3 linked regions of the Canis lupus familiaris genome follow. The protein of the gene in region 2 interacts with the protein of the main gene of each other region in a biochemical or structural test. Links are inferred from orthologs where the notes say so. Each region holds a gene or a part of one and is shown on either strand. Other genes may lie near its edges.

Region 1 (6,552 bases), on a different chromosome or scaffold from region 2:
GGGCGGAAGGCCCCTCCCGCCGCCGCCATGCTCATGCTTTTCAGCTTATTATCCTTTTTCCATTTCATTCTCCGGTTTTGGAACCAGATTTTAATTTGTCTCTCGGAGAGGCAAAGAGCATGTGCTATTTCAATCCTTCTTCGGCGGGTCAGGTAGCGGTTGAAGTGGAACTCCTTCTCCAGCTCCAGAGTCTGGTAGCGCGTGTAGGCCGTCCGGGCTCTCTTGCCTTCCGGGCCGCCTATGTTGTCTGCAACAGAAAAGTCAGCGATTTAGCCACCAACTCCGCAGCCCCCGGGTGCCCAAGTCGAGCTGGGGTCCTGAGCAGGGAGCGGGGGAGAAACGCTCAACAAGTCCTCCCTGCTCGCCGGCCCACCCCTCCCGAATTTCCTTCCCTCTTCCTTTCTAGAGAGAACACAATACAGTTTGGACTCTGGGAACAATCGGCCCATCTGAGGCTGGAGCCGCGTCCCGGAGGATCGCCCGGCTTTCCTTCACCCCTCTCCTGCCCTCTGGCCCTGCCCCTGGCGTCCCGAGGCGGGGCACTGCCCTCCCAGGCAGCCCACCTCTCAGAAACCCACGGAAGCAAGGCCCTTTCCTGAGCGCCCAAGTGGCCTCCAGGTCACCCTCCCCTAAAGTTCCAGCCCCGCGAGCCGCCTTCTGTTCCAGCCTGCACGCTTGGGGCGCCTGCTTTCTTTTTCTTCCCCTTTCTGCTGTCCCTTCTGCTCCCAAACTTCAGAATCCCGCCGGCTCTCGCCTCGATTATTCCCCCCCCCCAAGCCCCTTTTCGGGGACTCTAATTAGTAACGCTGTTTCCCCAGCGTAGCCCTCCTCATAAATTATCCGCCCTGACAAGCCCAATTCACGGCCCCTACTGCCATCCTCTACCTCTCTGCGCCCTGCTCGGCTGGCCTGACCCGGGAGCGCGTTCCGAGGCGCTGGGGTTCGATATGGGATTTTTCCTCCCCACCCCCCCGTTTCAACATCTAAACTTGCCTGGCCAGCGGCCCTTCTCCCCCACCCCCATCCCTCCCCGTCTGCGAGCTTTGGGCGCTGCAGAGAAGAGAAGGTGAAAGGAGGAAGGCAGGGGAAGGGAACGGCGGGGAGAGACTCCACAGGGCTGGGAGAGGCGAGACCAGGAGACAGACGGGAAGAGAGGGCGGTAAAGAAGAGAGGGGGGACCGAGAGCCGCGCCCCCGCGGCCGCGTGGATTTAGAAAAAGGCTGGCTTTACCATGACTTATGTGCAGCTTGCGCATCCAGGGGTAGATCTGGGGTTGGGCGGGCGGCGCCGGGCTCGGCTCGCTCTGCGCGCTCGCCTGCTCGCTGCTGGCGGGGGCGTCCTCCTCGGCTCCGGACGCCGTGCCAACCCCCTCTCTGCTGCTGATGTGGGTGCTGCCGGCGTTGGCCGAGGCGCCGCTGGAGTTGCCCAGGGAGTTTTTCCCGCCGTGGTGGCTGTCGCTGCCGGGCGAGGGGGCCACGGCGGAGCAGGGCAGCGGGTCGGGCGGAGGCGAGTGCGTGGACGTGGCCGGCTGGCTGTACCTGGGCTCGGCGGGCGCCGCGCTGGCGCCGGCCGCGTAGCTGCGGGCGCGCTCCCCGGAGCCAAAGTGGCCGGAGCCTGAGCGGCCGACGCTGAGATCCATGCCATTGTAGCCGTAGCCGTACCTGCCGGAGTGCATGCTCGCCGAGTCCCTGAATTGCTCGCTCACGGAACTATGATCTCCATAATTATGCAACTGGTAGTCCGGGCCATTTGGATAGCGACCGCAAAATGAGTTTACAAAATAAGAGCTCATTTGTTTTTTGATATGTGTGCTTGATTTGTGGCTCGCGGTCGTTTGTGCGTCTATAGCACCCTTGCACAATTTATGATGAATTATGGAAATGACTGGGACATGTACTTGGTTCCCTCCTACGTAGGCACCCAAATATGGGGTACGACTTCGAATCACGTGCTTTTGTTGTCCAGTCGTAAATCCTGCCTGATGACCTCTAGAGGTAAACTCGTGCACTAATGGGGGAGTTGGGTGGAGGCGAGAGGGGTGGCGCGCGCGCCGCAGGCGCGTGCCCGCCACCCGCCGCCGCCGTTCAGTCGGACTCGAGCGCCACCCGCTGGAGGCAGGGCGCATCGCTCCGCTTCCGACCCAGGGCTGCAAGGGCCGGGGTCGAATTGAGGTTACAGCCCATTATGGCAAAATTATTGCATTTCCCTCGCAGTTCCATTAGGATGTACCAATTGTGAGGCCGTCAGCTGCCGATCGCGCGCCCGGCGAGGATGCAGAGGATTGGGGGGAGATGGTGACTTGGATTTTATTTACAACAACTTTATTTCCCCGCTGTGCAGCCCCTCTTATTTTTGTGTCGAGGTTGGGGTCGGTTCTGCCCGTCGTGCCGGCAGCTCTGAAATTTGAAAATACAGATATCACCTTCGGGGAAGGGGGGAGGCCATTTAGCCAATTGGAGAAATAAATCCTGCCCGCAGCAGCAGCTACAATTACGGCTCTGTTTTTCTGTGAGTGCATGAGGGACAGTGTCCCTGCCGCTCTTAAATGACAGGCGTCTATTAAAGATAGCTTTTGTGTAGTGTTTCTCCGAGGCGAGGTCAAATTCCATACACTTTTATAACCGGAGTCGATTTTTCTTTCGTGTAAATATGGTTTTCGTGTCATTAGTTCGCTATTTGATTTGCTTTAAGTATCCAATCCGGAGAATCTTCACCACCAGGTCCCTTTCCTGGAGGCAGCCGGGCCCCAAGTCGGAGGGTTCTCTGTGAACCCAGCCAGTGGGCCCAGCCTCCCCGCAGCCACAGAAGCTGCTTGGAGGCTGGGGATCCTTGGGCCGAGGTATGAGCGTCTTGCTTAGACCTCCAGGAGTAAAATGAGGGTGCTAATGGAAGCATTTCGTGCCAGTGCCTAGTAGCTTCGTATTTTCCTGGGTCCTGAAAGACGAAAGTAGATCACGAATATAGCCGAAAGGCATGGGGGGGTGGGGACTTCCCGCTGGAGGCTGAGCGTCGCAGGCACCCCTGGCACATTTGGAAACCAGGACTCTTGCCCCATGGCCCCGAGCCCCTTCCTTTGGTCCTGAAAGCTACCCTGGTAGCAGCGCAGGCACCATCGGAGGCGGGGTCCGGGATCCGGAGCTGGAGCCTTCGGGAGCCCAGGCTCTCCGGGGGCTGTAAAGTTCCACCCGCGCCCAGGTTGCGGCGGCTCGGCTGAGGCTGCTTCTCTTCCACGGACGGTTGCGCGCGCGGGGCCGAGAGACTAGGCTGTCTCAGGGCCCCCTTTGTTCCTTACGCTTCTTCCTGTCTAGGAGCGGCCTGGAATGCCACTGCAGTGCTGGGGCCCCGGCCTTTAGGCCCCCTCTTTCCAGTGGCCCGAGTCGATTTGGTGGTACCCTCCGGGACTTGGTGGCGAGGGACCGAGGCGGAAACGCCCAGACACCCACCGAAAGGGGCTCGGCCCCGGGTTCTTTCCTCTCCAGCAATCCCGCGTCCCCGAGCTCAGGAGCACGCAAAGGCGCAATATAGCACAAGAGCCAGGGACGAATTCGGGGCGCGCCCCGGGATCCGGAGCCGGCTAGGGCAGCCTTGGAGAGCGGGACTGTGTGTGCAGTGCGCCCTGCTCCACCGCTGGGATTGGCTGTGTGTAGTATTATTATTATTATTATTATTATTTTTTTGGTAAGAAATAAATGCTCAGGCGTTTGCAAAGCTCCCAACTCCCCTGAAGCTGCGGAAGCCCCCCGGAGGAGCAGGCGGGGGAGAAAAGTTGGGGAGCAGGCGAAGGCAAGGGGGCAAAGCCGAGGGAGGTTGCGGCGCTGGCCTGGTCCCTGCCCAGGCGTCTACTCGCCAGCCTTTGCCTCCGCGTCCTCCCCGCTGGGCTGTGTGGAATTGATGAGTTTATTTTCCTTTTTCCACTTCATGCGGCGGTTCTGGAACCAGATCTTGATCTGGCGCTCGGTGAGGCAGAGCGCGTTGGCGATCTCGATGCGGCGGCGCCGCGTCAGGTAGCGGTTGAAGTGGAACTCCTTCTCCAGCTCCAGCGTCTGGTAGCGCGTGTAGGTCTGGCGGCCTCGGCGCCCGTGACTCCCATACACAGCACCTGCGGGCAGAAATGGCCGGGCGCCCGGTGAGCCAGGATCCCGGCAGCCGAACCAGTCAGACCCGCGCCCCGCGCCCCTGGCCTCTAAACTGGAAGCCCACTCGCCTCCGCTCCAGCCTCTTTCGCTATGTCTAAGGCCAAAAGCCGGCCGGATGGGAGAAGATTATTTCCTACCAAGCGAGATGTTTTCCACCTAAAACAATTTGGAGTGAGAAGTTATTGTTTTTTTGGAAAATCTGCTCAGTCAGAAAACCATTACAAGCAAAATAAGAGAATGAGCTGCTTAATTCAGGGTACCTGAGTTGTGCTTTTGTGGGAGTGTAGTCTGTGTGTGTCTGGAAGGGATGGGTGCGGAACCCTGGAAGTAGGTTGGACCCTAGGAATTCACACACGGATTTCTGTGAAGGTGTTACTGTGGCCACACATGTCAGGACTCAACATGGGGGTTTTTTGGAAGATGAAAAATGGTTAGCCCTCTCAAATCTTTGCAAACTCCCCCAAACTGTATGGCCCTTCTGAGAAATACAGCACTCTCTTGGAAAAAAAAAAGTGGATCTTAAAGCAAAACACTATCAGTCTAAAAATCTGCACTAGGCTCTGCCCTGCTCCAAGGATTCTCTGTCGAGTTTTCGGAAACCAGAGGCAAAGGGATGGAGCGATGGGCCATCTGGGGTTTCTGGAAATGTAGGACTGTGATGGGCTATCTGTTCTGGTGCCAAAGGAGCCCATGGGTGGGGGGCTCCCCCCCCCCCCCAAGCTGGGTGTGTGAGACTCAGGCAGGGCCTCAAAAGGAGGCACAAGTTGGCTAAGAGTGAGCAGTTGAGTGGAAGGGGGAGGAGGGGAGGGAGGGGAAAGAGAAAAAATCCTGAGGCTGGGGATGTGGCCCTCCAAGGCTTTAGGGAGACACTAGTGAGAGCCTTTAATCTATATGGATTTCTGAAAGGCAGAAAGGAGAGGGGTTGGGGAGTGAAAGGGAGTTATCAATGGTGGGTGCAGAAGGCCATCTCTGCTTGGGGATCTGAGCAGGGTGTTATTACCAGGGTGAAGTGTGGGCAGGCACTCCCTCCCACCCAGCCTAGCTCTCTGTTCAGGTTGCCCCTGTCACTGAGTCTCACATAGAGTGGCAGTGACCCCTCTCGATTCCCTAAGGTGTCACCTTACAAGGATACTAGTGCCGAGCCTTCACACGGCCACAGCTTGATTGCCTCACTGGGCATGGGTTGGGGTTGTTTGTTTTTGTTTTTGTTTTTAATCTCTTAAAAAAGCCAAAGAAACTTTGTTCAGTCTTTCCTCCTCTCTTTCTATTTCCTCCTTCTACTTTCTCTGTCTCCGCCTTCCTTCCTCCTTTCCCCGTCTCCCTCCACTCTCCTGGGGGGGCTGCAGGGAAATGCCTTACCCGCGCAGGAGTTCATCCGCTGCATCCAGGGGTAAACGGGGCTCGTGTACTTCCGGTCGGTGCCTTCGTCATGGAGGGCTTTGCCCGGCACGCTGCTGCTGTCGGGTTTGTACTGCTGCTCGGGAGAAAAGTGCAGGTAGTCCCCGGGGCCCCTCTGCTTGCCACTGCCCGAGGGCGAGGCGCCACTGAGGTCCTTATCAGAATAGAAACACGAGGCCCCGTACTCGTAGGACGCCCGGTTGCAGGCCAGGACCGAGTTGGACTGTTGGTAGAAACAAGGTGAGGTGTACGTCTTGTCCGGGAGGCTCGACGCCCCGTACGAGGCCGGGAAGGGCCTCAGCGCGTCATAGCCGGCCGGGTAGAGGGGCAGCTGGCCCAAGAAGGAGTCCTGGCCGCTGGGCAGGCTCCCGGGGAAAGTGGGATTCACAAAATAGGAACTCATTTGCGCGCCCCTCTGCAGGACTGTGATTTGTTGTGTATTAGTACATCTGGCTATAACTATTAGTAGTCATCGAACTGGTTTGTTTCTGGATGGCCGAACGCCAAAAGCGACAGCAGCAAATCGCACCAGCTGACGCGGCGGCGGCCAATGGGAGCGAGCGCTGGAGCCCGCTCCCCGGGGACCGCGGCGACCGAGGCAGCAAAGTTACAAACAGCCCCCAGCCCGCCCGCCCGCCGCCGGCCCGGCAGATTGATGGGCGCGCACAGCCAGCCGGCCCGGCTCTCCTCCCGAACGCCGGCGGCGGGCACGGCCCGGGTAGGGGCGTGCGGATCGGGCCGGGCTAGGGGCACTGGAGTCCGGGCCGCCGCAGAGGCCCCGCCAGGCCCGCTCCTTCCTCCTCCCCTTCTTGCCTGGTCGGATTTTGCTGGTTTTTCTTTCCAAACAGGAAACCTGGCAGCCCCGCGCCCGGAGGGGCGGTGACAACGCTGGCTTTGCTCCCCACCGGCCTGCCCTCCCGGCAGGGCCCTGAGTTTGCCCCTCCCTCTGCGCTCCCCTACCCGTGGGTGCGGGTTCCAGAGCTCGAGAAGGGGGTGTGAGAAACCAGGCCTTCACGCC
Region 2 (6,479 bases):
CTGGCCCTCCTGCGAGCGGCCCCGACCCGAGCCCTCCGCGCCCGCGAGCGCCGGGAGGTGCTTGGGGTTTGCGCAGAACTCCGGGGAACTCCAAAGGAACGCCAACGGCGTGAGGAGAGGCCTGGGAGGAAAGGTGCCGGGCGCCCGGCTGCTGGGTTAGGAGCGCGCAGGGGTGAGGAGGGTTGGGTCCCGCCCAAGGACAGCGCAGCCGATAGGGGGCGCCCTATCACTGCGGGAGCCGGCGCGGAGCGCTCCCGGGCGAGCCCCCCCCCCGCCCCCGACCACCCATTGGGGCGAGCACCTGCGTGCCTCGCTCTCAAGCTCGCCCCTTGGGGAGGTCGCGCTCCTTCCTCCCGCGGACCTCCTCTCCCGGCTCCGCTCCTTCCTTTTGCCCAGGGAATAATTTCTAAACCCGTATTTTCGATCAGGAGCAAAAAGTGAAAGGGAAGTGGAACGCATACATGTACAGATTGGGTTCAAGTCCATACACACCAGAAAGTTGTCTGGCTTTGTTCACAGCTTTGTCTGTTTGGACGTCTCTTTTCTACTGAACACGAGAGGCGCCTCTTGGGGGGAGTGTGTTTTTGGCGTGTGTGTGTGTGCGTGTGTGTGTGGTCGCATTTCTACTCTGGGTCTATGCAGAAAGCTTTGAAAAACTTATCTTCTGAGCGTCGGTGCATACCCCGCTTTCCCAAACCCTGGGAGAAAGATTAAATTGCTCCCTTTGTATTCTGAGGCGAGATGAGAGGAGCTGAGATAAGATGAGAGCTCTGCCTTCCCAAGTATGCTCCCCAGCCCACGCATGCACTGAGTGTGCATGCACCCCACAACAGACTTTCCGGGTGCACCGGGCCGGCCTGCCTCTCAGGGAACTCTGCGCTGCGCTAGGCTTTCAAAGCCCCAGACTTTGGCTTTGGGGGATCCTGCCCTGGCACTCGTTAGGGGTGGGTTTATTAACCCACTCACTATGAACGGGTCAGTTTGCGGTTCAGCGCTGGGGTTGCTGCCTGAGACTGCATCTGGTTCAAAGCGATTCAGGCCTGAGATAACCTGGGGTGAAGAGAAGGGGTGGCTTCCCTACCTGGACTGCTCTTCCTCCCTGTACTCCTAGCCTGGCCCTCACACAGACCTTCTGTTCTTGGTGTTCAGCTCAGTGCCTGCCACCTCACCTCCGTTTTCTGACACCATTCCCATAACTTTGGACAGGTGGGCCAGATATTATTTCCTACTTCTTTAGCTCTGAGATGGGGGCCACGGGGCTGGATGCTCATGGCCCAGCATGTTTTTAGAACCAAGAAAAGAAGTTCACATCGAACACCTGTAATACCCCGAACCCTGCAATCTGGGATCCCTAGGGTATTAGTAGGTGGCCCAGAACGGATGAAAATCTGCACCCCGAAGCTGGAGCAAAAGTAAGAAGGAAGTATATGGTTGCGGAACTTCTGATTCTTCTAAAAGAGCCCCTCAAGAAAGCAGAGAACGCAGACTCTCCCGAAGTAAATTCCATGTGTCCCATTATCGATTCCTTTTTTTCCCCCTCTCTTGTCCTGCCTCACCTCCCACCTCTTGCCCTGTTTGTTTTAGTTACGAAATGCTGTGGGCACCTCGGTTGTGACTGCAAAGTAACCTTGAAACACGGCGTCCTGAATGTCAGAGACAAATAGCAGCCTCCCGACCGTCGACTGCAGCTGGCGGGGCCGAGTGCGCCCGGCGCTCTGCGACGCCCCCCCCCCCCCCCCGTCCCCGTCGGTCGTGGGAGCCGGGCTCGGAGGAGGCGAGACCCGCGGCTGCGGGACCCCGAGAGCCCCGCACGCCAGCCGGAGCCGCCCCGGGTCTGAACTGTAACAGGGAGGGGCCTCCCAGGAGCAGCGGCAGGCGAGTTCCAGGTGTGTATACAGGTTTTCTAAATACGACGGTGCTTTGCAAATTGGCTCTGTCACCGTCTTGTCGTTTTGACAGGTTATGAGCGCTGAGAATGAAGAACCCCGGGATGAGTCAATGGGGCATCTCTAAGGCTCTGCAACGGGGCTACCGGGCGCTCTGGGGCCGGGCGGGGGTCAGAGCTCCGGCCGCTCGCGGGGAGGAAGGCACCCAGGTCCCTCCTGCCACCGGCACTCCCGGCGCGCGCAAGGGTAAAGGGGGCTGGGGCAGGGAGCCCGCGCGCCCGCTCGCCCGCGCGCCCCCTCGCCGGCCCGGTACGGTGCGGGGCGCGGCGGCAGTGGGGCGGGCGCCGGGCGCGGAGGGGCAGGTGCCGGGCGCCGGCCGAGGCTCCCTCTCACCTAGGTGTGAGCTGATTATTCAAATGGGCTGCCCCGGGTCTGGGGATTGGAGGCCGGCGCCGGCGCGCCGCGCTATATCACCAGCCGCCCACGTCACTGCGGCACTTGTCCGCTCCGCGGTCCACACCTCCTCCTCCTCTCCTCCTCCACCTCCTCCACTCCTCCACCTCCTCCTGCTCCTCCTCCTCCTCCTCCTCTCCACCTCCTCCCTCTCCCCCCCACCCGCCCCCGCGCCGCGCGCTTCCCGCCGCCTCGGGGCAGCTCGGCACTGCCAACCTCGGCCTCCGCCCGGCAGCCCGCGAGCGCGGCGGCGGCGGCGGGCGGCTGGCGGCGGCGCTCCCTGCCGCGGGACTCGGGGCCGACCTCCTCTGGTCTCCGGGCCCCCTCCTCCCGTAGCTGACCCCTCCCGCCCCTTCCAACTACCGCCTCCGGCCGGCGGAGGGAGAGAGAGGGAGTGGAGCCGGAGACAGGGAGTGCGAGGAGAGAGGGAGGGAGGGGACGGTGCCTTGGCTGACTTTTTTTTTTTTTTAAGAGGGTGGGGGTGGGGGGGTGATTGCTGGTCGTTTGTTGTGGCTGTTAAATTTTAAACTGCCATGCACTCGGCTTCCAGTATGCTGGGAGCGGTGAAGATGGAAGGGCACGAGCCGTCCGACTGGAGCAGCTACTATGCCGAGCCGGAGGTAGGCACTCGCCTTTTCCAGGGGGAAGCAGGGTGGCGGCGTTCGCACCGTCTCCCAGCCTCAGGACCGCTCCTCTTGCGGGCACCCGCCCCCCACCCCCAGCCGCTCTGGGCAGCCGCCTTTTCCACCCTCCTTCGACTCAAATGGGTCTCTTTTTTATACGACACACTGTTAGCCTTGAGATAATATTAACTTTGTGATCAAATATTGACTTGCGGCGCCTCCAAATCCTCTTCGTGGCCGAGCCACGCACTATCCTAACAGAGTTATGTTTGGCAGCGCGCGGCTGGGGAGGGGTGGGAGGTCGGCCGGCGAGGGGGTGGGGAGCTGGAGAGAAGGTGGGTAGGCGTCGGGGGCCGAGGTGGAAGCAGAGTCAAAGACTAGGAACAAAGAGAAAGAAAGTTTGTGGCTGCAAAGCCCAGCCGCGTGTAGCCCAGTCCTCGGTCTCCTCCCTGCCGCTCCGCTCAGAGCCTCCAGCTGGCCCCAGACCCTGCGCGGGCACTGGGTTTCGGCTCCCCCGGGGCCAGAGATGGGGTCCCGGGGCGGGGTGGGGGGGAGGGTGAGCGGAGAGGACGCCGGGACGACCTCCGCCTGGGGCCGCCGGGCGCCCTGGGCTGGGACCCTCCGGTTGTTCACCAGGGTCGGAGGTGGCGTCCGAGGCCGCGGCGCGGACCCGGTGTGCCGGCCGGACAGTCGCGGAGGGAGGATGCGTTCGAGGTGCCCGGCCTAGGGGGGCTCCGGGGAACCCTGGCTTGAGAATCCAAGCGAGGCGCACAAGGGCTGGGATCTGGCCGCAGGCAAACGGCAGCAGCCTGCTTGCCGCCTCCTCCAGGGCGGTCCCGGCGCTCTCCGAGCGCGGCGGCCACGGCGTCCCCGACGCGGACCGGGCGAGGGAAGGGTCCCCAGAGGGCTCCCCGGAGGCAGGGCGCCCGGGCGGGCCTGGCGGGTGGGAGGGCGCGCACGCTCTCGCCGCGGTGCTAACCCTGTGCGCCTCGCTCCCGGGCTCTGTCCGCAGGGCTACTCCTCCGTGAGCAACATGAACGCCAGCCTGGGGATGAACGGCATGAACACGTACATGAGCATGTCCGCGGCCGCCATGGGCAGCGGCTCCGGCAACATGAGCGCCGGCTCCATGAATATGTCGTCGTACGTGGGCGCGGGCATGAGCCCGTCCCTGGCCGGCATGTCCCCCGGGGCGGGCGCCATGGCGAGCATGGGGGGCTCCGCCGGGGCGGCCGGCGTGGCGGGCATGGGGCCGCACCTGAGCCCCAGCCTGAGCCCGCTCGGGGGGCAGGCGGCCGGGGCCATGGGCGGCCTCGCCCCCTACGCCAACATGAACTCCATGAGCCCCATGTACGGGCAGGCGGGCCTGAGCCGCGCGCGCGACCCCAAGACGTACCGGCGCAGCTACACGCACGCCAAGCCGCCCTACTCGTACATCTCGCTCATCACCATGGCCATCCAGCAGAGCCCCAACAAGATGCTGACGCTGAGCGAGATCTACCAGTGGATCATGGACCTCTTCCCCTTCTACCGGCAGAACCAGCAGCGCTGGCAGAACTCCATCCGCCACTCGCTGTCCTTCAACGACTGCTTCCTCAAGGTGCCGCGCTCGCCCGACAAGCCCGGCAAGGGCTCCTTCTGGACCCTGCACCCCGACTCGGGCAACATGTTCGAGAACGGCTGCTACTTGCGCCGCCAGAAGCGCTTCAAGTGCGAGAAGCAGCTGGCCCTGAAGGAGGCCTCGGGGGCCGCGGGCGGGGGCAAGAAGGCGACCGCGGCGGCCCAGGCCTCGCAGGGTCAGCTCGGGGAGGCCGCCGGGCCGGCCTCTGAGACTGCGGCGGGCACCGAGTCGCCCCACTCGAGCGCCTCTCCGTGCCAGGAGCACAAGCGAGGGCCCCTGGGAGAGCTGAAGGGGACGCCGGCCGCGGCCCTGAGCCCCCCGGAGCCGGCGCCCTCGCCGGGGCAGCAGCAGCAGCAGCAGCAGCAGCAGGCGGCCGCCCACCTGCTGGGCCCTCCGCACCACCCCGGCCTGCCGCCGGAGGCCCACCTTAAGCCCGAGCACCACTACGCCTTCAACCACCCCTTCTCCATCAACAACCTCATGTCCTCGGAGCAGCAGCACCACCACAGCCACCACCACCATCAACCCCACAAAATGGACCTCAAGGCCTATGAACAGGTGATGCACTACCCTGGCTACGGTTCCCCGATGCCGGGGAGCCTGGCCATGGGCCCGGTCACGAACAAAGCCGGCCTGGACGCATCGCCCCTGGCCGCAGACACCTCCTACTACCAGGGAGTGTACTCCCGGCCCATAATGAACTCCTCTTAAGAAGACCCCGACAGCGGGCTAGCCTGGGACAGGGACAAGAGAGAGGAAATGGGGCGGAGAGTTTGAAGAAGGGGTGTTGTTGGAGAGATCCAAGGAAGAAGAAAACCATCACATCCCCACCCCCAGGACAGCAGTCTCCCCTCACCCTCTGCAGCTCTCCCTCCCAAATAGATGGGCCACACTGATATTATTCTATATAAGGAGGGAAGGCAAGAAGACAAACAGTCAAAACAAAAAACAAAAAAGAGGAAGAAAAGAGCAAAAAGCCTCCGATCTCCACTGCTGTGTAGACGCCTGCTTCTTTTAAGCATTTGCGAGTTCTGATTTTTCATTGTCATCTTCTCCTCCATTGCTGCTGTTGCAGGGAAGTCTTACTTTATTAAAACAACAACAACAACAACAACAAAACAGAAAACAAAAAAAACCCACAAACTTTTGTGAGTGACTCAGTGTAAAACCATGTAGTTTTAACAGAGAAACAGAGTTGTACTATTGTTTAAAAAGAAAAAAAAAAGATGTAAGGGTCTGTTGTAAATGACCAAGAAAAAGAAAAAAAAAATGCATTCCCATTCTTGACACGGTGAAATCCAGGTCTCGGGTCTGATTAATTTATGGTTTCTGCGTGTTTTATTTATGGCTTATAAATGTGTGTTCTGGCTGGAAGCGCCAGAGTTCCACAAATCTATATTAAAGTGTTATTGCCAGTTTTACACCTTGAATCTTCAAGATTTTTTTTTCCCTTTGCCTGACTTAAAAAATAAACAAGTCTAGATATTATTTAATGTGTGTGTGGGGGGGATCCTGGCTGGTTGCAGATTTCATTTTCTTTTGGTGAAGGGGGGCATGACAGTTGTTTTGACAACATTTTATTATTAAAACTTTCAGACATACTGAAGTTGAACAGGTTTTACAGAACACAAAGTACCCATTGCCCAGATCCTACAGTTATTGTTTCACTATACTTCCATTGGTCAATTCAGGTTATTTTTTCTAAATGCATTTCAGATGCAATCAGGTACATTCAGGGTGGTATGGCCATAGACCTGAATACATTTCAAAGTAAATTTCAGACATCAGTATACTTCCCCCTAAACAGTTCAGCAAGCTCATCATTAAATAGAATTCAATATTGTTTATGATTACTTTTGGAGTTTTGAGTTTATCTTTACACACAATGAAACACAG
Region 3 (6,397 bases), on a different chromosome or scaffold from region 2:
AACCTAAAATGTCAGTGCATTTAACATCTAAAATACCAACTTGCTAATCGACAAACTTGAGAAAACTGTTCAACCGCTATTACTCCACATTTGAAGTCATTTCCAGTAATCATTTTCACCTAATTAGTAGTCTGGGTAATTAGATTTTGAGGTAAGTAACAGATTTATTAAGGTTTTGGAGGACCTTGATTATGTGTCTAAAGAACTAAAGCTAAACAAACAAGTATTTAACTTTTAATCGACACCCATCAAATATTTAAACATACTGCAAAAAAAAGTCTTAAAGATTGGCATGAGGTTTGCTAGGAATTCTGAAGTTAGAATCCCACCAATCAGATAATGACAGGCCCCCACATTTGCAAGTAGAAAGCGTAAGCATTTGTAGTGCAAGCCGCTTCCATGTTGATTTTGGTGTTGTGGAGGCTGTAGATCCTGCGGGAGGCAAATTTTCAGACATTTGGGTCCTCAGCAACTAGAGCAGAGTTTCTTGTTAATTCCGGCTGCCTTTTGCACATTTTAGTTTTGAGGAAGGTAGATACACAAACACCCAAAGTTGTGAAACTAATAGAATTTCTCCCTACCTTTCAAGTTTCCTACAATCCTATAAAGAAAAAGAGCTCAGGGAAGCAAAAGAAAGGAAGGAAAAAGAAAAGTTATTTACTGTCTTCAGCTGAGCGTCTCTCACTGCCCCAAGCAAAGGGATCCAAACTGGATGTTAATATGGGCTGACAGTTTTCAAGTCTGGCTTTTATTTGCCTAAAAAATGGCACTTATCCTGCAAGGATCTCTACTTTGCAACTTTGACACTATGAGAGATTGCTTCAAAATGGCGGATACAAGATTAGGAGAAGTTGCCTCTTACTTTGACAAAGGTCCTACTGAGTTTTCAGCATTGGATTTTCATATTTACATTGCTTTAGAAATCAAGACACAAAAGTCCACAAATGGAACCCAGTTACTCTAACTTCTTCCTGCTTTAAATTCATAGCACAAAAAACATGCTTTTCCACCCTCAGATCTGATTTAATGTAATTTTATAAATACCCCTTTTGGGGGAATTTGTACTATCTTATCAGCAAAACTAATGTAGATCCTATAACAAAGACTTGATATTTTCTACTCTCTTTTCAAGACAGTTATTTGGAGGCTGTGAAAATAATATTGCTTTAAAATACAGTCATTTTATTTGTCTAAATAGCCTCTGAGCTGGAGTTCTCTCTTAATACAATCCTACTACATTGGAAAGTTCTGAACTACTGTAGAAAAAACTAAAATCATAGCAGATGTACACATGAGACACACGCAATTGTTTTTACATGTAGAATTCTCACCCAATTAGAAATGTCTGTTACAGAAAGTGGCACATTCCAACATAAAAGGCAGTAGCAGATAGAAAGCACCAGGCAAAGATCCTTCTTGGAGCTCCTGTGCCCTTACCAACGCAAATAACACTAAAATTTAGGAGTAAACAGTTTTTCGCTTTTACTACTGGATTGCATCTTTGAAAGAGAAAGAGACATACCCCCAAACAAAACTAAGTACTCTCAGCAGCCGGCCTAGGTATGCACTCTCCAAAGAAGAGGCCATGGGCCCTTCCATCTAACTTCCAAAGCCCCAAATGGACACCTTTCTCCCTTCCTCTCTAAGCCGAGCCTAGAAGGGGGACAGAAAGACCCTTTCAAAGCTACAAGCTTCCATATGATCGCTCAGGAGGTGGCGGCTGGAGAACTCCTACCTACGGGAGCGGGTGACGGTGGTTCGGCGAGTGCCCGCGGCCGGCGGGCGCCGCAAGTCCGGGCGCGATGCCTCGGTCCGGCGTCCCCGCGCGGCAGCCCCGCAGTCCTGGCGCCCCGGGTCCGGCTCCACTGCCCGCCCCGGCCCGCGCCGCCTTATATCTAACGGTCAATTCGTGCAATCTGTCGCTCTCCCCCCACCTCCCCCGCATCTCCCCCACCCCCCGCCCCGCTTGTTGGTTTTTTTTTTTTTTCCTTCCAAGGAGCCCATCTACCAGTTGCTGTGTCCTCGCTCAATAATAATTACCTCGTCCAAGAATTAATTATAATAAATGTTTTCTTGATAAACTAACGAGATAATCCGAGGGGCACACGTCCCTTAATTACAGGCCGCCGTGCTCAGCTCTGCTTCTCGTCCGGGCTGATTAATTTTCTGCATGATGGAAAAGAAACAAAACTACGCGGACTGGCGACTGGCCTGTGGCTCGGGAGAGAGCGCAAGGCAGGAGAGAAGAAAGAGGAGAGATGCGGGCACCGCGGAGGCGGCCGGCGCGGGCCTCCCTCTCGGGCGAACTCGAGGGAAAGTTTCTGGCCTCGGGGAATCGAACAGCGCTGCCACCCGCGAGGGAGGGAGGAAGAAACGTGCCAAAAGGGTTGGCCTTGACTATTAATTATGGTGAGGAGAAAGCCCCAGTGTTAGCTCGGAGAGGAGAGGTCTGGGTGTCTACCTTCCTTTGGGGGGAGGAGTTTGCTCTCCAACTCGCCTCCTGTGCTAATAACTTTTGGTGCCTGGAAAAAGTCCCGAAGTGAGCGGGAGCGAGAAATCCGGACCCGCAGCTCTAGGACCGAGGTGGGGTGGGGTGGGGTGGGGGGTGTTCAAGGATCCGACTTGCCCCGTGCCCTCCCCAAGTCCCCCAGCACTCCAGGGCCAACGCAGCTCGGCCTTCTGTCCCCACAGCCCACCACTGTCTGCACCGGAGGAAAAAGCCAGCTCGGTGGGAGTTCTGACCGGGGACTTCGATTTCAGAAAGATGCGTTCCGAAGTCGGACCGTGATTCCAAGAGGCCCCTGAACGCATCAGCGGGAAGACCTCTTTGCAGTTGGCGGCGGAACACGTCGCCGAGGCTGGCTGCTGGTGGAGACCTGATGGTTCTCCCTGGGTGGACCGAGAACGGAGGGCTGGGCCTCGGGGTGCACCCCCTCGACCCCCGCCCGGCCCCACGGCAGCCGGCTGTCCCCGAGCCTGGGAGGGGAGCGCGCGAGCGCGCACGCAGGCCCCGGCGCTGCCCCCAGGCCAGAGGGCGGAGGGGCCGCCTGCCCCAAGGTGAGGCTTCCTGTCCCCCGGCCCGCCGCGGCCTCGGGCGCAGCAGGGGCCACTCCCCAACACTTCGGCCAGCCCCGGATGCCCGCGGACGGCTGCCCCGCGCGGGCCGGTAACCATCCCGGGCAAACAGCTCTCGCCCGGCCTGGTGACCCGGGGCTGGGACCACGACAGCCGGCGGTGGGGGAGTTCCCGCACTCCCAGGTTATTCTGGGAGGAGACAAGTGGTGATCAAAAAGGAAAAGGAGGACGGAGGGCGAATCGCAGGGAGCTGCTCTGGGCTCCGGGAGAGGGCCCCGGAAAGAGCGGCGAGCCTCCTCGGTTATCCGCTCGGGTTTCCCCTCCCGTTCAGTAGGGGCAGGCGAGGGCTCGAGCTGCGACCGTCCTCACCCGGCAATCGGAGAGCGAGTCGGGCTACGGGCACGCGGGCCCTAGAAGACGCCTGTCTTATCACCACCACCACCACCATCATCATTACCCATCCATCTAGCTACATCTGCAGCGTTTTGTCTGACTCTGAAAATGTCCTTGAGATCGGTACAAATGACCCAGCCACATCTGAGAGCCAAAACGCAAAATTAGCAGGGAGAAGCCCAGAATGGGCGTTGACATAAAACAAAACCACAAACAAAACCCGTCCAGAACACCCCACATTAGCCTCGCAGGGTTTCCACGACGTTTGGCGGAAGCGGCGACCCCAGGAGCGCGCTGCCTCCCCTCCTCTCACTCCCGCCCTCACCTCCAGATCACACATTTTTCGCAATGATCGTTACTACACCTAAAAACATTTACGAGGGAGAAAAATACAACATGCTTCAGAAGAACTCCACGTTCCCAGAAGTGTGCTTTAGTCGGTCTATTGGAGGTAGTGGGGCGATGGTAGTCAGAGGAACACATGGGTGTAGACAGGCAGACAAGACAGACGGACACTTACCTTACGGCCGCATGGGAAGTTAGAAAAAAATTTAATTATCCTTCAAAATTCCAAATAGCCCGCTATCCTAAAAGAAATCAAGAGTATTGAGTTAGAAATCTTGCAGTCTTCAACCCTCCATGAAAAGTCAAACAACGAAAAAAAAATTTAAAGAATAGAAAATGAGGAAAGTAGCTCGAGTTCGAAACACGCGTGGGCCCCTCTGGGATACATACAAAGTAGACGTGATGAGGGCTGCTCTAGCGATTTTTATTTTTAATAACAGTGGAGGCTGAGTTGGAGCTGAGGTCGGTTCCGCTCTCAGGGAGATTTGCTGAGAAAGCGCCTCTCTGGCAACTTTTTGACGCAAACTCTCCAACCAATGGCAGGGAGAGAATGATTGACACATCTAAGCCAGAGGGAAAATAATAAAAACACACAACAGGGGGAGGAAAACAGGCCGCTGCTGCACGGGGGGACGAGCGGGCAACAAATCCAGGCCTCCGACATTACCAGAATGTTCTTGAAAGACACTGGGCTCCGCTTAAAATATACATTATGGGCCGGAGCATGTGAACTAATTGTATAATTAAAATGATGGACAGGGAGGCCTCCCTTACCTTTCTTCTCCTTTTCTTCTTTTCCTTCCTTTCCTTTCTCCCCCCCCCCTCCCTTTTTGTTTTATTTTGATTTTCGGGAAGGGGAAAAAGGAAACCCATACAATAAGATGGAAAGATAAAAATGTTTAGGTAAATGCTGGAGAAGAGCGAGGGTGGAGCAGTAGCTGGGTTATCGCCTGCAACGCCGGCGGTGAGCGTGTGGGTCAGACGCAGAGAGCAAGTCGGGCTGAAGCCTAAAACGGCCACGACGCCGGTTTAACCAGGGTCAGAGCACGCTGAGGGCCAGAAAGGGGGAAAGAAGGCGGCCTGGGAGCCAGCGTTGGGCGTGTAGGCAAGGGAAAGACGGATGCACAAGTCCAATCACAAACTATTTTCAGAAACTCAGGGTCTCTCCCACTCGTTGCGCCCTTATCGATATTCCCCGGTCCCCGAAGCGAGCGCCTCGGGCTCCTGTTACCCGCACAGGATTTTAAGAGTTTGCAGGAGCCCAAGGCAGGCTGCCGGGCACACCACCGGGGCGTCTGACCCCAGGGCCGGTTTGGGGAGACGGCGGGAGCCAGGTCAGGAAGAGGGGTCGGCCGGGCACCCGGGGAGGGCGCGAACGCAGGAGGCCCGCGCTGGAAACGGCTCCACGTTAAGACAAACGCTCCTCACTGGCCGGCGGCGGGGCCTGGAGCTAAGAGCCCGCGCGGCCCGAGCCGGGGGCCGAGAGCCCGGAGGCGGGAGACTGGCGGCACCAGGGGACCCGAGCCAGGGAGCGAGCCCCAGCCTAACTTTAATGCCTGGCACAGAGAGCGGGACCCGACAGCTTCCAAACCCATCTGAGTCCCTAGAAAAGCAGATTGGGCGGAGGGAATGGGGGGGGGGTGCACCAGAGGACCGGCTGAGGGTGGAGGGGTGGTGGGTGGGGGGAGCAGAAGACATCTCTGCCCTCATGACTCCCACTGCCGGAGAAGAAAAATAAAATCTCTTTCTAAACACCCTCCCCCTTCCTCCACCACCACCACCACCACCACCACCACCACCACCACGGCAAGTGGGCCCAAAGAAACAGCTCGCTGCCTTTAATTTGGGGACCTATGTTAATGAAGTTGGTAATTAATTCGTCGCTTTGTTGTCGGTTCTTATACTGTATGTGTAATCAAATGTGGCCGTCCTTGGGATTTACAGCAATTAACGAATTACGGGAGTGCGCACGAGGCAGCGAGCGCTCGGCAGCGCGGCTGGGCTCCGGCTGCGGCTCGGCCTGGGGCTGGGCGCTCGGTGGCCGCGGCCAGCCTCGCAGGTGTCTCTAGAGCTTTGGGCCCCCGCGTCCCAACGAGCCCCCGAGCGGCCCGGGGTCTGCCCAGCAACTCCCGAACCCTCAGCGCCCGCTCCAGTCCGGAGAGACCCGCTGGCTGTCGCGGTCCCAGGAGTCGCGACTTTCTGGGGTCCCGGGCTGGGGGGGGAGGGTGAGTATAGACCTTTTTTTTTTTTTTCTCACCCCGCCCCCACTGTACCGAAACACCTGGCGACTGCCCCCCGCCCCCGCCCGGCCCTTAACTGGGGAGGGAGGAGAGAGCCACAAATGCCCTAGGCGGTCTCGCCCATTGGTTGGGAGCACTTGGCCAGAGTCACGATACTTTCGGTGAAGGAAGGGCCAAATCCACCCAGATCCCCTGTGCCAGAGCCTCCTTCCCACCCCGAGAAAAGACAGTGTTTCTCCCAGTTTGATCGCAATGATGTTTAAAGCATCAAAGAAGGAAAAGAAAAAATGGACGTTGTGCGTCTGGCGAAGGGGAAGGGCCGCAGGGAGGCCTTGGGGACAGTA

Evidence for each region.
Region 1: the proteins of FOXA2 (region 2) and HOXA5 form a complex in vitro, tested with the Homo sapiens proteins (2 studies listed by BioGRID). The link is inferred for Canis lupus familiaris from reciprocal best matches to the Homo sapiens genes FOXA2 and HOXA5.
Region 3: the proteins of FOXA2 (region 2) and OTX2 form a complex in vitro, tested with the Homo sapiens proteins (2 studies listed by BioGRID). The link is inferred for Canis lupus familiaris from reciprocal best matches to the Homo sapiens genes FOXA2 and OTX2.

What each region holds. Positions count from the first base shown.
Region 1 is NC_049235.1:40,412,193-40,418,744, forward strand, and holds the start of HOXA5 (homeobox protein Hox-A5), read right to left. Parts: upstream 3,827-6,552; 5' UTR 3,091-3,826; exon of another isoform or gene 2,935-3,090; 5' UTR 2,126-2,934; coding exon 1,231-2,125; intron 248-1,230; coding exon 1-247. Other genes in the region: HOXA6 (homeobox protein Hox-A6), read right to left, coding at 3,840-4,099, 5,496-5,757. UniProt on the Homo sapiens protein: Sequence-specific transcription factor which is part of a developmental regulatory system that provides cells with specific positional identities on the anterior-posterior axis. Also binds to its own promoter.
Region 2 is NC_049245.1:1,386,697-1,393,175, forward strand, and holds FOXA2 (hepatocyte nuclear factor 3-beta), read left to right. Parts: upstream 1-2,585; 5' UTR 2,586-2,872; coding exon 2,873-2,959; intron 2,960-3,974; coding exon 3,975-5,294; 3' UTR 5,295-6,071; downstream 6,072-6,479. UniProt on the Homo sapiens protein: Transcription factor that is involved in embryonic development, establishment of tissue-specific gene expression and regulation of gene expression in differentiated tissues.
Region 3 is NC_049229.1:32,745,823-32,752,219, forward strand, and holds the start of OTX2 (homeobox protein OTX2), read right to left. Parts: upstream 4,294-6,397; 5' UTR 4,204-4,293; intron 4,056-4,203; 5' UTR 3,989-4,055; intron 1-3,988. UniProt on the Homo sapiens protein: Transcription factor probably involved in the development of the brain and the sense organs. Can bind to the bicoid/BCD target sequence (BTS): 5'-TCTAATCCC-3'.